Linked DNA regions of Anolis sagrei. The protein of the gene in region 2 purifies or fractionates together with the protein of the main gene of each other region. This does not show direct contact. Links are inferred from orthologs where the notes say so. Each region holds a gene or a part of one and is shown on either strand. Other genes may lie near its edges. The genes, in order: RAF1, PIN1 and POLR2D.

Region 1 (4,036 bases), about 83 Mb from region 2:
CTAGAATTCTGCAGGAGGCAGAAACCGGATTTAAAGTGGATTCATTCTCTAGTGTGATGAGGTCCTGAGTGTTCTTTGTGAAGAGAGCAAGTAGAGTGTAAATAAACTTAATAATAATTAATAATAATGGGATCATTCATAAAATTCAAAAACCCACCGTTTTGCTCTTGCACAACTTGCAGCAAAAGGGAAAAAAGGGGGATGGCAGCAAGGGGACATGGCCATTGGAAACATATAGTACAGTGATGGACTGTGCGATACTGGGAAACATGTGCTAGTAATTTACAGACGGGGAAGGAATGGACAAGTGTGAATGTGTGAGTAATCCAAGCATCTGATTACAGAATGATATTAACACTGAATGAGACAGGATGGCTATTCTGGCCTCTTCAGTGGGATAGCACCCTATGCCATGCTGTGTCCACACTTCAACACTTACTTTCCTGACTGCATATTGCTGTATTGCAGCAGCCCGGTCCTACCTAATCTCATTCACAGGAAGAGGATGATATGAATTGTGGTCCAATTCATGCCAAGTTTCGGAAAACTGCTTTACTGGAACTCTTGCTCTCCCTTGCACCAATGAACCACATAGTCACAATTTATTTCTCCATGGCCCCTTCGCTCAGTACAAATATAGCACCATGATTGTACTTTAATTTTTCATGGCTCTATCTTCTGGAATCTTGGGATTTGCAGTTAATGGAGAAATATCAAATAGCTAGAGTGCTATAGTGCCATTGACTGAATTACTATTCCCTTCTTTAAGTCTTCATTTCAAGTGGAGTTTTCAGATACTTTTGTTTCACCCAGCATAGTAAAGCTGATGCCCTCAGCAGTATGCTGATGGAGGCCCGTAATTCCTGGCACTCAGAAGCCTGAGATCCTGTTACATGGATGGTGTCATGCAACCTCTGAAAGCCACTGTATTATATTGACAATCTAAAAATAAAAGAGTGAGAAAAGCAGAAAGCCAAAGCAAGCAAAACATGCTATTAAAATGGAGCCAGAGAGGGGACAAGAGAAGGGAGTGTTTCAAGGGAGGGCTCTGTGGCATGTAGCTCCTCCAAAGAAAACGTGAATAGACTGGAGGTTATTTGGCTGTTGGGGGGTAGGTGGGTGGTCTTTTTTTAGGCTGTTGCAGCCATGTGATCTACCAGAGTGCCTGGCTAATCTGCATGGGAATCTGGGGGTGGGAAACTGAGCTGTCCATCTCAATCGGGCTCTTCCTCCCATCTGCCTCCTTGGAGTCAACATCCACTGCACCTTCTTTTCGGTTCTGCCTAGGCTCTTTTGCTGCTTATTAATCCTTGAAGCAAACTGGATGGCCCTGTATGCAGCCTTTCCAATTAACTTTTAATCGGCCTTTGAAAAGTTCATGCTTTCAAAACTTCAATAGGTAAGTGAAAATTTGGCTGAAGACTACTGTGTAGTAAACAATAATTCTCACAGTCTTTCCAGTCTGGGGTATATTTTCTTGTTAAGTCTTGAAAGTGGGATGATAGCTCTGTTTACACTTTGTCAGAGCAAAAGGCAAAAAGTCTCTACTAGATAAATAATGAGTTCTCAAACCGGCAAGGAATTACAACTTTGTGGTGATTGTAATATGTTTTGTGATTATTTATTGATCTGATTCATTCCTGAGAAGAAATTAGTACATATTAAGTGGTTGTGGATCTTTACATTGTGTTCCCCAATTATGCCTTTAGATTACTATAATTATTAAAACTGGTATTTGCTCTTCATTGGAGTAACTTATTTTGTCACTGACATATTTTTATTGAAGTTTTTTTAAAAAAAAATCTAATTAAGTCTGGGAGACTTGGCTTCTGTCTGAGAAAATCCCAGAGCTGTCTATAGAGAGAAGTAATCATTTTCACACATGGTAATTAGACAGTGTTTACATGTAATGCCTGTATTTGTAATTGAGGCATCAAATTTAATTTTTAGGCCAGTACATTAAACTGAGGGGAAAGAGGCTGGAGTTACAATACGTCTCTAGAAATTACTTTTGCAAAGAGTATGAGAACCTAGAAACATATTCATCTATTAAACAAGTATTTCTGTATCACCTCCCAGCTTACAAGGGGTGAATAAAATCAATTAAAACAATGCAAGGATAAAATGCTTAAAAACACATTAAAATGCTATTTTATAAAAAGCAGACTAAAAACAGCCCTAGATATCACTTGCTCTGTGCCAAAATTGCCCTTTGTCACATGTGGTCAAGCTTAGCAGTACTGAGTTTACCTGACCATATACAAAGTGCATAAGCTTTGGGGGGGAGGGGGGGGCTCTAAAACTATGAAATAGAGTCACGGTAGCCACATTAAAAAAAATGCCCCATGTTATGTGGAAGATACCATTTCAGTAGATACCACTTGACAAAACTCATTCTTCCATACAACTATTGTCCTCTTTTTCAGGTGGCCAGTCTTGCTGGTGTGTCCAGGACAAATGAAAGGATTTGAAACACCATTACTTTTAATGGATTAGTTTTACTTAATTTTTTTAAAGATAGTGTTCCAAACTCTATGCTAAATAGGTGATGCCCATTTAAACACAGAGAATCTAACTTGAAGAACAAACATGAGACACGGACTCTTTGTGGATGTGAGATGTAGCTCCTTCATTGCCATCTTTCCACAAAGTGATTTTCTGTCATCTGGCCAAGTGTTGAGTCATGGACCTGAGCTGGAGCAGAAAGATGACAAAGTGGGACCATTCCATAATCATAATCCCCATGACTATCTCGAACCTTAGCATGAATTCAAGGTGTTTGGGATAAACAGGGGTTTCAATTTCTGGATCTACCATAATCCCATCTATCCTGAAATTGGTTCTCGGTATACAACAGATTCATATTTTCTTATTTAAATTGAAGTTCATGGCAGATGCTTTCTACAGCTCAAGAGACCACCATATTAGTCTTTGTTGTTACTTTGCATTTAGTACCTGGAAGTTGCATTTCTGTAAACAGTACAGTTACCTCCCAGTTTCCACAAATTGATTTTGACATTTTATATAAATGATGCCATTTCACTACACCATTGTATGTAACGGAACTTGAGCATCTACAGATTTTGGTGACCAGTCTCTACAAGTGGCTCTGGAACCAAACCCCAGATGTGATCAATGACCCTTACAAAGGCCACAACTCAGCACAGACTTCAGTGCTTCGTAGTGGGATTCTATCACTGAGTTGGAATTCAAATACTGATCTCCCAAATATATGTGAGATTTTCACATATTTCACATACATTTCACATACATCTAATGAATCCTTATAACAAAACTTTACAGCTAGAATGAGGAACTTGGGAGTTTCCAGTACTTAATCAACGACTGCTTCCGTCATAGTTCAATTCATGTCAGGCTGACTGTGGCTGATGGGAATGCGAGTCTAGAAAGCTATAGAGGTCCACAGGTCCCCCGGTGTTTTCTAATGCACAGAGTTACAACTTAGTAATTGATGTTTTGTATTCAGGAGCTCCAAGTTTCCTTCTCTCGCAACACCAAGTAGAACTAGGGGAAAATCTGCATAAAATTCTGGAGAGCAGCTGCCACTCAAAATGGATGGGTTTTGGTTACATGAAGCAAGGGTCTGGTGCACTATAACATAGCTTGTGTTGTTTAAAATATCTTGTTAGTCTCGAGTCCCTTTTGGCAGAATATAAATAAATAAAATAAATAATCATCTTATGTTCTGATACCAGTCCAAAATTACTATCATCTCCATATTGCAGATGAGCAGAAAGGGTTGACGAAATAATACATCGTGAAGGGATGCTGATTTTAGCTGAAGTAACACTTTAAACAAGAGGCCTCTCTTGGTTTATCTCAGCCAAGGTCCTCCTATGGCTTTGCACTAAACTAATTCTAGACTGAGGTGGAAATCATGTAGTTTGAGATGATGTTGGATTACAGCAGTCCTAGCCAGTGGAGAAATGTTGGAATAATAACAACACTTGAAGTCTGCATGATTTCTGCTTTTGCTTTAGACATAGAAATTAGTTTGCAAACAAACAAAAAGATA
Region 2 (4,036 bases):
AGTTCCAATCAGTCTACATAGTCAACTGTAAGGAACAGTGGAAGATGCGGGGAGCTATGTGAGTTGCTGCAAAAAATTTACACACTTAAAAGGTTATAATTAGAGGTAATATGAGAAAGGGCAACCCTAGAGTTTGGAAGTCCCTGCTTAAGGAGGTCAGGATGGCCATCTCCTTGCTGTTGTGCTTTCATCAGCAGGCAAAGCTTTTTCTATTCCAATAGGCTTTTAGAACTGAAGGTTTCAAAAAAAAAAAAAAGGACTTTACTGTCTGTATTGCTTTGAATTGCATTAACTATTAAAATCATTTTAGAGTGTATGTTTTTAACATGATTAATAGTTTCACTTGGTTTTAATGATAACTTTTTATGTATTTAATTATAAATGTTTTAATGTGTAAGCATAAATCTTGGTCTTGGAAAAAGGAAGGATAGAAGTAAAGTGACTGTGCTTTTTCTGAATGGCAAGGAGTTGGACCGGATGGCCCCTGTGGTCCCTTCCAACTCTTATGATTCTATGATTCAGAAGAAGAGTGTCAAGATGCATTTTCTGTTTGTCATAACATCAGAGTGTGGCAAGTGATTTTTACATGCTATAGATTATACTACAAAAAAACACATTACAAGCAGATATTAGAAACGTCTTCCAGCCTGGAGTCCAAATTCAAATACAAAAAGTGTTTCTAGTGATTAGTGGATACAAAGGATGGGATCAAAATATCAGCATATTTTATCAAAGAATTATAAAAGACACTTTAGCATATAGAATGCAAAAGAGGGCATGATGTAATACAGGAGACATGACCATCTGAGGGAGGTGAGGACAGAAATTTCTGTCTGGTCCCAGGTGTGAGCTTTACCACTTCTGGCTTAGGAAATTTACTTTCACAACACATGGTGATGGTCCCTGCCCAACTGCTTTAAAGGAAACTTAACCTAACTGACAGATGAGAGATTTGTAAGATGCTATTAGTCATAATGGCCAAGTACAGCGTGAGTGTTTAAAGACAGCATGCTATCAAGAACTAATTTCTTGGTTGGGATGTTGCCATCAAATCCTACTGATGAGCTGAATGGGCTGCCCATGTAATTACTGTTCAAAAGAAAAAGGCTTGCCATTAGCATGTAGGAGTCTTTAAATGTATTGGAATCCAAACACTTCATCACACTAGAGAAAAAATCCACTTAAAATCTGGTTTCTGCCTCCTGCAGAATTCTGGGGTTTGTAGTTTAGTGAGGCTTCTCCCTAAACTGCATACCCCAGAATTCTGGAGGCAGAAACCAGATTTTAAGTGGATTTTTCTCTAGTGTGATGAGGCCAAATACCAGCAGCTATAATCAGTCTGGGCAATAATATGTATTCCAAAACAGCTGCAAATCCCCTGGATAAAGAAAACTAAATGTGGTCCAATAGGCTCTGATAAGAATTTTAGCTCATAGATCAACCCAAAAAGCTTCATTCATAAACAATTTAAAGGGATTTAGATAAAGTGCAAAGTTAAAATCTACATACATCTGCTGTTATAATAAGAGCAACCTCTAAAAATGTCCTTTGTGAAAGGCCTGGATCTTTGGGGGCAGGGGGCTCCTTATGAGCAAGTGACATGAAGTTCTTCTCTTCATTCAAGGCAAACACCAATAAAAAAAATAAAATGAGAACACTTAATTATCAGTTCACTTTTATTATATAAAAACAGTGTCCACAAAGACAGCAAGGACAGCTGTAAGTAAAGAAAGAGGTGCTAGGAATGGCTGAGAGTGCAGAGGGTTGTACATTGCCCTGGCCTTTCACAATTCAGGGAGGAACGAAGAGAATAAAGGCTGAGAGATGTAAGTTGCCTTACCCAAAATGAAAGGGACCAAAAGTGTTTTGGATTTCAGAATGGAATACTTGCACATACATGAGATGTCATGGAGATGGAACCCAAGTCTAAACTCGAAATTCATAGATGTTCCATATACCCCTTCTACACATAGTCTGGAGCTCATTTTTATACAATCTACTTTTTAATAATGTTGTGTATGCAATAATGCAACGAAGTTTTGTGTTCATTGAACCATCAGCAAAGGCATCACTATCTCAGCCACCAACGTGGACATTTTTGGGATTTGGTATATTTCAGAATTGCCAATAAGGGGGACTCAGCCTGTATAAGAAAATACAAAATGAGAATGGAGAGAAAGAGCCCCCAGAAACACCACTCTTTGCTATGGGGTTTGGCTTATCTCTGAGGAGCCACAGATAGTAACCCTCCTTTCCCCGTCATAGCTTTCCCCTACATTCTTGCAGAGGGGGGGAAACCCTTCTTTGTAATCCCTGTTGATTTAATTAACTGATTTTTCCCCTTCGACACTCTCTCGGGGGGAAGGCCGCCACGCAGGCCCCTCAATCTAAGTCACTAGGAAGGCTGCTCCCTTCCGACATTCCTTCTTCCCGAGGCCGGACTTTCACGCACAGACACCCTCCCAGGACGCCCCCACAGCTCGGTGCCCACCCACCCACGCTCCCGCCCGCTTCCCAGTCCACGGCGGTACCGGAGCTGCGGCTCATGCGCTTCTCCCAGCCCGCGGGGAGCTTCTCCTCCTCCGCCATCTTCCCTCCTCTCACAGCACCAAGCGCAGAGGCGGCCACGCCCACTTCTCCTGGCAACGACCCCGCACGCGCACAATGGCTCCGGCGGCCTCTCTCACGATTGGCCAACTGGGTGAAGACGTCGCGCTCCTATTGGCTAGAGCTAGAGACCGCGCGAGAGAGGGTACTTGGCTGCCTTGGCACGCCAAAGGTGAGACGACGGAGGCTGCGAAGGGACAAAAAAGGCCAGACGCGAAGCAAAGCGCTCACATTTAGCTTTTGGAAAGCTATACAGAGCCCCGTCGCGTATGGATTGGAAGGATAGGCGTCGTGGTTACTCAAGTCACCACGTCGAAGCGTACCACCGCACTGCAGATGTACACCAATGGCCTCCAGAACCGGGAATAAGACAAACTCTCTGCTGATCGAAATATTGGCACCAGTCGTATTAGTTCTGGCTCGGAAATGCGCATTTGAAACGTTACTGCAAACCAATCCCAGTGCCTTCTTGGGCGGAGGCAATTCGGAAATGCAGTAGGCCCCTTGGTTTGGCTCAAGTCCCATTGCACACAGTAGCGTCGTAAAATGTCCCCTGTCTGCAGATAATATAGGGTGCTGCTGCTGGTTTGCTTTTTAAGCACTTATGTGTGTGTGTGGAGGTGGTTTTAAAAATCTAAGAAATTATATATTTTTCAAAAAGGAATTCGACAATAAACAATCAGGGCCAGCTAATCACCTCCCAACAAAGTATTCCTCCAGGCAGGAAGAGGCCAAGCCTTGAAGCTGCAAGGCTTTTCGATGCTAATCAAGGTGGCTAATTGCAGCAATCACATATGCCTCAAATAGACAAGTTTTTTTTCCCTATATATCTGTGGTGCATATGTATTCCGCAGATATATAAACCCCATTTACCTAGTTCCCAACAGACCTCAAAACTGAGAATGCCTGCCATAGATGTGGGTGAAACGTCAGGATGCTTCTGGAAAATGGCCATACAGGCTGGAAAACTCACAGCAACCCAGTGATTTCCAAAGCCTTTGACAACACGTTTTCAGTTGTTTGTTTATAATCAGTTGTTTGTTTATAATCCTACCACAGCTTTCCAAACATTTCATGTTGGTGACTCACTTTTAGGCATGGCCCTCATTTTGCAACACAGGCTGTATAAAATCAACATTGAACTGGATTATATGTCAGTGTGGACTCAGGTAATCTAGTTTAAAGCAGATATTGTGGATTATCTGCATTGATGTTCTGAGTTACCAAAATGTGGTTGTGTGGAAAGGCCCACAGTAATAGAGAAGGAGCCCCCAGAAACACCGCTGTTTGCTATGGGGTTTGGCTTATCTCTGAGGAGGAGCCACAGATAGTAACCCTCCTTTCCCCGTCATAGCTTCCATCTACATTCCTGCAGAGAGGGGGGAAAAACCCTTCTTTCTAATCCCTGCCAGTGACTCTCAACCTGTGG
Region 3 (4,036 bases), on a different chromosome or scaffold from region 2:
GGCGAGGGCTAATAAGCTAAAGGTAAATCTAGACAAAACAGAGGCACTACTGGTCAGTATTATTATGATGTTCTACATTAGTTGTCACGTTGGCTAATGACAAAAGATTTTATTCTCAGGATTACATACCTGCGAACGCTAGCAATCGTCTCCCGGTTTTTGAAGCGGCTGAAGCGAGCGGTGTAGTTCAGCGTTTTCATGAAGACTTCAGAGAGCTCCTGCTCATCTTCTGCACTCTCATTCTGCTGCTTTCGATGTTCAAGAAGCATGTGCACTTCTGAATTGAGAAGGGTTTCAGCAGTCTCAAACTCTGTAGGTAAAGATGGGTGGAACGGATCAAAAGAAACAGAAAAAGACAGCTTTATGGGTGCTATTTTAGGATTGGTCTGTGTGTGAAGCAGGAATAGGTGGTAGTACTTAAGGTTATTAACAAAAATGAGAAAAACAATAATATGACTGATCCTATGAAAAATACTAAAGAGAAATATCCAGAATATGCACAGAATATAAAATATATAAACAAACTAGCCATCCTCTGCCACACGTTGCTGTGGCCCAGTCTGTGAATATGTGTTTTGTGTATGTATGTATGTGTATATGTGTATATATGTGGTTTCACGCATGCGTTGCAATGTTGCTGTTTTTTTTGCTTTTTAAGTCTTTTCTGCTGTGTTTTCCAGTGTTTTTATGGGTGATGGTCACTCGTTGGCCTGATAGGTGTATTGTGTCCAAATTTGGTCTCAATTTGCCCAGTGGTTTTTGAGTTATGTTAATCTTACAAATGAACACTACATTTTAATTGATAAAGACTAGCCATCCCCTGCCACGCACTGCTGTGGCCCAGTCTGTGTATATGTGCTTTGTGTGTATATATATTTGTGTTTATGTGTATATAAGTGCACATCCATTGTAATGTATTTTTTTAAATTTTTTTTTGCTTTTTAAGTCTGTTCTGCTGTGTTTTCCAGTATTTTTATGAGTGATGGTCACTTGTTGCCCTGATAGGTGTATTGTGTCCAATTGTCCACTGGGTATTACACAGTTGCTCCCCCTCAGCGGTTTTTGTCCCCAGAGTATATTTCCCCACCTGTATGAAGGTCTATATTTATGACCCCGTTCCTTACGAGTTTCTTCCCCACAAACAATCTGCTCCATCTCTATCTCATCCTGATTTTAGTATTTTTGGTATCTAGTTTATTTATTTATTTAGCAATTTTGTATACCGGTCTTCTCCCCTCTATCAGGGGACTCGAGCCGGTTTCCAACAATAAAATCACAAAACAATAATTAAAAACATCATATAACATATTCAATTAAAACGTTATAACAGCAAAATGCAATCACATAATAACAATGGTCAGTCGTCATAGTGAATTCGTTGTCCATCATTCATCATCATCTATCCGATCACAGAAATATTGATTTACTCGTCGAAAGCCAAACCCCATAGCCAGGTTTTCACCCATTTTCTGAATGACAGAATGGAGGGGGCAGTTCTGATCTCCAGTGGGATAGAGTTCCAGAGTCGAGGGGCCACCACCGAGACGGACCTGTCCCTCGTCCCCACCAGACGCGCCTGAGAGGCCGGTGGGACCGAGAGCAGGACGAGGGACAGGTCCTTCTCGGTGGTGGCCTCCAGACGATCTTAACAACCTAGATGGTTCATAGGTGAGAATACATTCGGACAGGTAAACTGGGCCGGAGACGTTTAGGGCTTTATAGGTTAACACCAGCACTTTGAATTGTGCTTGGAAGCTAATTGGCAGCCAGTGGAGCTGGCGCAACAGAAGAGTAGTATGCTCCCTGTACCCTGCTCGTGTTAGCATTCTGGCTGCCGCATGTTGGACTAGTTGGAGCTTCCGGGCAGTCTTCATAGGCAACCCCACGTTGCAGTAATCTAAACTGGATGTAACCAAAGCGTGGACCACTGTGGCCAAGTCAGTTTTATCTTGCACATGCGGCCCGCTCATTGTTATGTTATTTAAAACAAATTATTTTGTTTTATCGTTTTTGTATTCATATGTTGTATGTATTTTACTGGGTTGTTATTGTTTACTTTATTATAATATGCTGTTGGGCTTGGCCTCATGTAAGCCATCCCGAGTCCCCATTGGGGAGATGGTGGCGGGATGTTAAATAAAGTTTATTATTATTATTATTATTATTATTATTATTATGGGTTTTGAGTTATGTTAATCCCACAAACAAACGTTATATTTTTATTTATACAGATTGTAATATGACTATTGGCTGTGGCTAATAAAACTGTTATCCCGATCACATCAGCTACATCTTCAGGTAGTTCACGGCTGTTAGGAATTATGGGAATTGAAGTCCAAAAGACCTGGAGGGCCCAAGTTTGCCCATGCCTGATCTACACTGCACTTTGTCACCATTTAAGTGCCATAGCTGAGTGTTATGGCATCCTGGGAGCTGTAGTTTGACGTGGTGCTAACACTCTTGCGCAGCGAAGCCTAAAGACCTTGAAAAAACTACACCTCCCACAGGACTGAGCCATGGCAGTTCAAGTGGGGCCAAACTGCATTCATTCTACTGCCTGGATGCACACTGCATGTGTTGTTTTGAAAGGATCCCGTAGGTCTGCCTCCTCTGGAGCAACTTCCATGTCCTCCCAAGCCCACGGCGTTTCCCTTCCCTCGGAGCCAGTCGCTCACCTTTGGGGAAGACCAGCTGGGAGGCGTCTTCCTCCACGTCCACGGCCCGCACGTCCGACCCTCCGGCCGCCATTGAGTGCCTTTCCACAGCCCGGAAACTCAAGAAAAGGGAAGAGAAGGGAAGTCGAGCCTCTGCTGCGGGCGCCCCCTTGAGGGCGGGAGAGGACACGCGCTCTTCCGTCACCATCATGTGGCATGAATCCCAGTGCCTTGTTTCAATGTCCAGGGTGCCCCGACACAGCGTTTTTCAACCTAGGGATCGGGACCCCTAGGGAGTCATGAGGGATGTCAGAGGGGTCTCCAAAGACATCAGCAAATTTTCTGTTGGTCATGGGGATTCTGTGTGGGAAGTTTGCCCCCATTCTATCATTGGTGGGGTTCAGAGTGCTCTTTGATTGGAGGCGAACTATAAATCCCAGCAACTACAACTCCCAAATGTCTATTTCCCCACAAACTCCACCAGTACACACATTTGGGCATATTGAGTATTTGTGCCAAGTTTGGTCCAGATCCATCATTGTTTGAGTCCACAGTGCTCTCTGGATGTAGCAGAACTACAACTCTAAAACTCAAGGTCAACGGTCACTAAACTCTTCCAGCATTTTCTGTTGGTCGTGGGAGTTCTGTGTGGGAAGTTTGCCTCAATTCTGTCGGTGGGGTTCAGAATGTTCTTTGATTAGAGGCGAACTATAAATCCCAGCAATTACAGCTCCCAAATGTCAAGGTCTATTTCCCTCAAACTCCACCAGTGCTCACATTTGGGCATATTGAATATTCATGCCAAGTTTGGTCCAGATCCACAGTGCTCTCTGGATGTATGTGAATTGCAAGGTAAGTGCCCACCAAACTCTTCCAGTATTTTCTGTTGGTCATGGGAGTTCTGTGTGAGAAGTTTGGCCCAATTCCATTGTTGGTGGGGTTCAAAACGCTCTTTGATTGTACATGAACTGTCAATCCCAGCAACTACAACTCCCAAATGTCAAGGTCTATTTTCCCCAATCCACCAGTGCTCACATTTGGGTATATAGAGTATTTCTGTCAAGTTTGGTCCAGATCCATCATTGTTTGAGTCCACAGTGCTCTCTGGATGTATGTGAACTACAACTCCAAAACTCAAGGTCAATGCCCCCCAAACCCTTCCAGTATTTTCTATTGGTCGAGGGGGTGCCGTGTATCAAGTTTGGTTCAATTCCATTGTTGGCGGAGTTCAGCATGCTCTTTGATTGTAGATGAACTATCAATCCCAGCAATTACAACTTCCAATTTAAAAAATAAATTTCCACAAGCCCACCAGTGTTCACATCTGGGCATACTGAATATCCCTGCGAAGTTTAGTCCAGATCCATAATTGTTTGAGTCCA

Evidence for each region.
Region 1: the proteins of PIN1 (region 2) and RAF1 purify together in Homo sapiens (co-immunoprecipitation; 3 studies listed by BioGRID and IntAct, with this or other methods). This does not show direct contact. The link is inferred for Anolis sagrei from reciprocal best matches to the Homo sapiens genes PIN1 and RAF1.
Region 3: the proteins of PIN1 (region 2) and POLR2D purify together in Homo sapiens (co-immunoprecipitation; 3 studies listed by BioGRID and IntAct, with this or other methods). This does not show direct contact. The link is inferred for Anolis sagrei from reciprocal best matches to the Homo sapiens genes PIN1 and POLR2D.

What each region holds. Positions count from the first base shown.
Region 1 is NC_090022.1:64,263,691-64,267,726, forward strand, and holds the start of RAF1 (RAF proto-oncogene serine/threonine-protein kinase), read left to right. Parts: upstream 1-1,236; 5' UTR 1,237-1,399; intron 1,400-4,036. UniProt on the Homo sapiens protein: Serine/threonine-protein kinase that acts as a regulatory link between the membrane-associated Ras GTPases and the MAPK/ERK cascade, and this critical regulatory link functions as a switch determining cell fate decisions including proliferation, differentiation, apoptosis, survival and oncogenic transformation.
Region 2 is NC_090022.1:147,609,840-147,613,875, reverse strand, and holds the start of PIN1 (peptidyl-prolyl cis-trans isomerase NIMA-interacting 1), read right to left. Parts: upstream 2,648-4,036; 5' UTR 2,590-2,647; coding exon 2,532-2,589; intron 1-2,531. UniProt on the Homo sapiens protein: Peptidyl-prolyl cis/trans isomerase (PPIase) that binds to and isomerizes specific phosphorylated Ser/Thr-Pro (pSer/Thr-Pro) motifs.
Region 3 is NC_090023.1:220,845,021-220,849,056, reverse strand, and holds the start of POLR2D (DNA-directed RNA polymerase II subunit RPB4), read right to left. Parts: upstream 2,791-4,036; 5' UTR 2,749-2,790; coding exon 2,676-2,748; intron 311-2,675; coding exon 130-310; intron 1-129. UniProt on the Homo sapiens protein: Core component of RNA polymerase II (Pol II), a DNA-dependent RNA polymerase which synthesizes mRNA precursors and many functional non-coding RNAs using the four ribonucleoside triphosphates as substrates.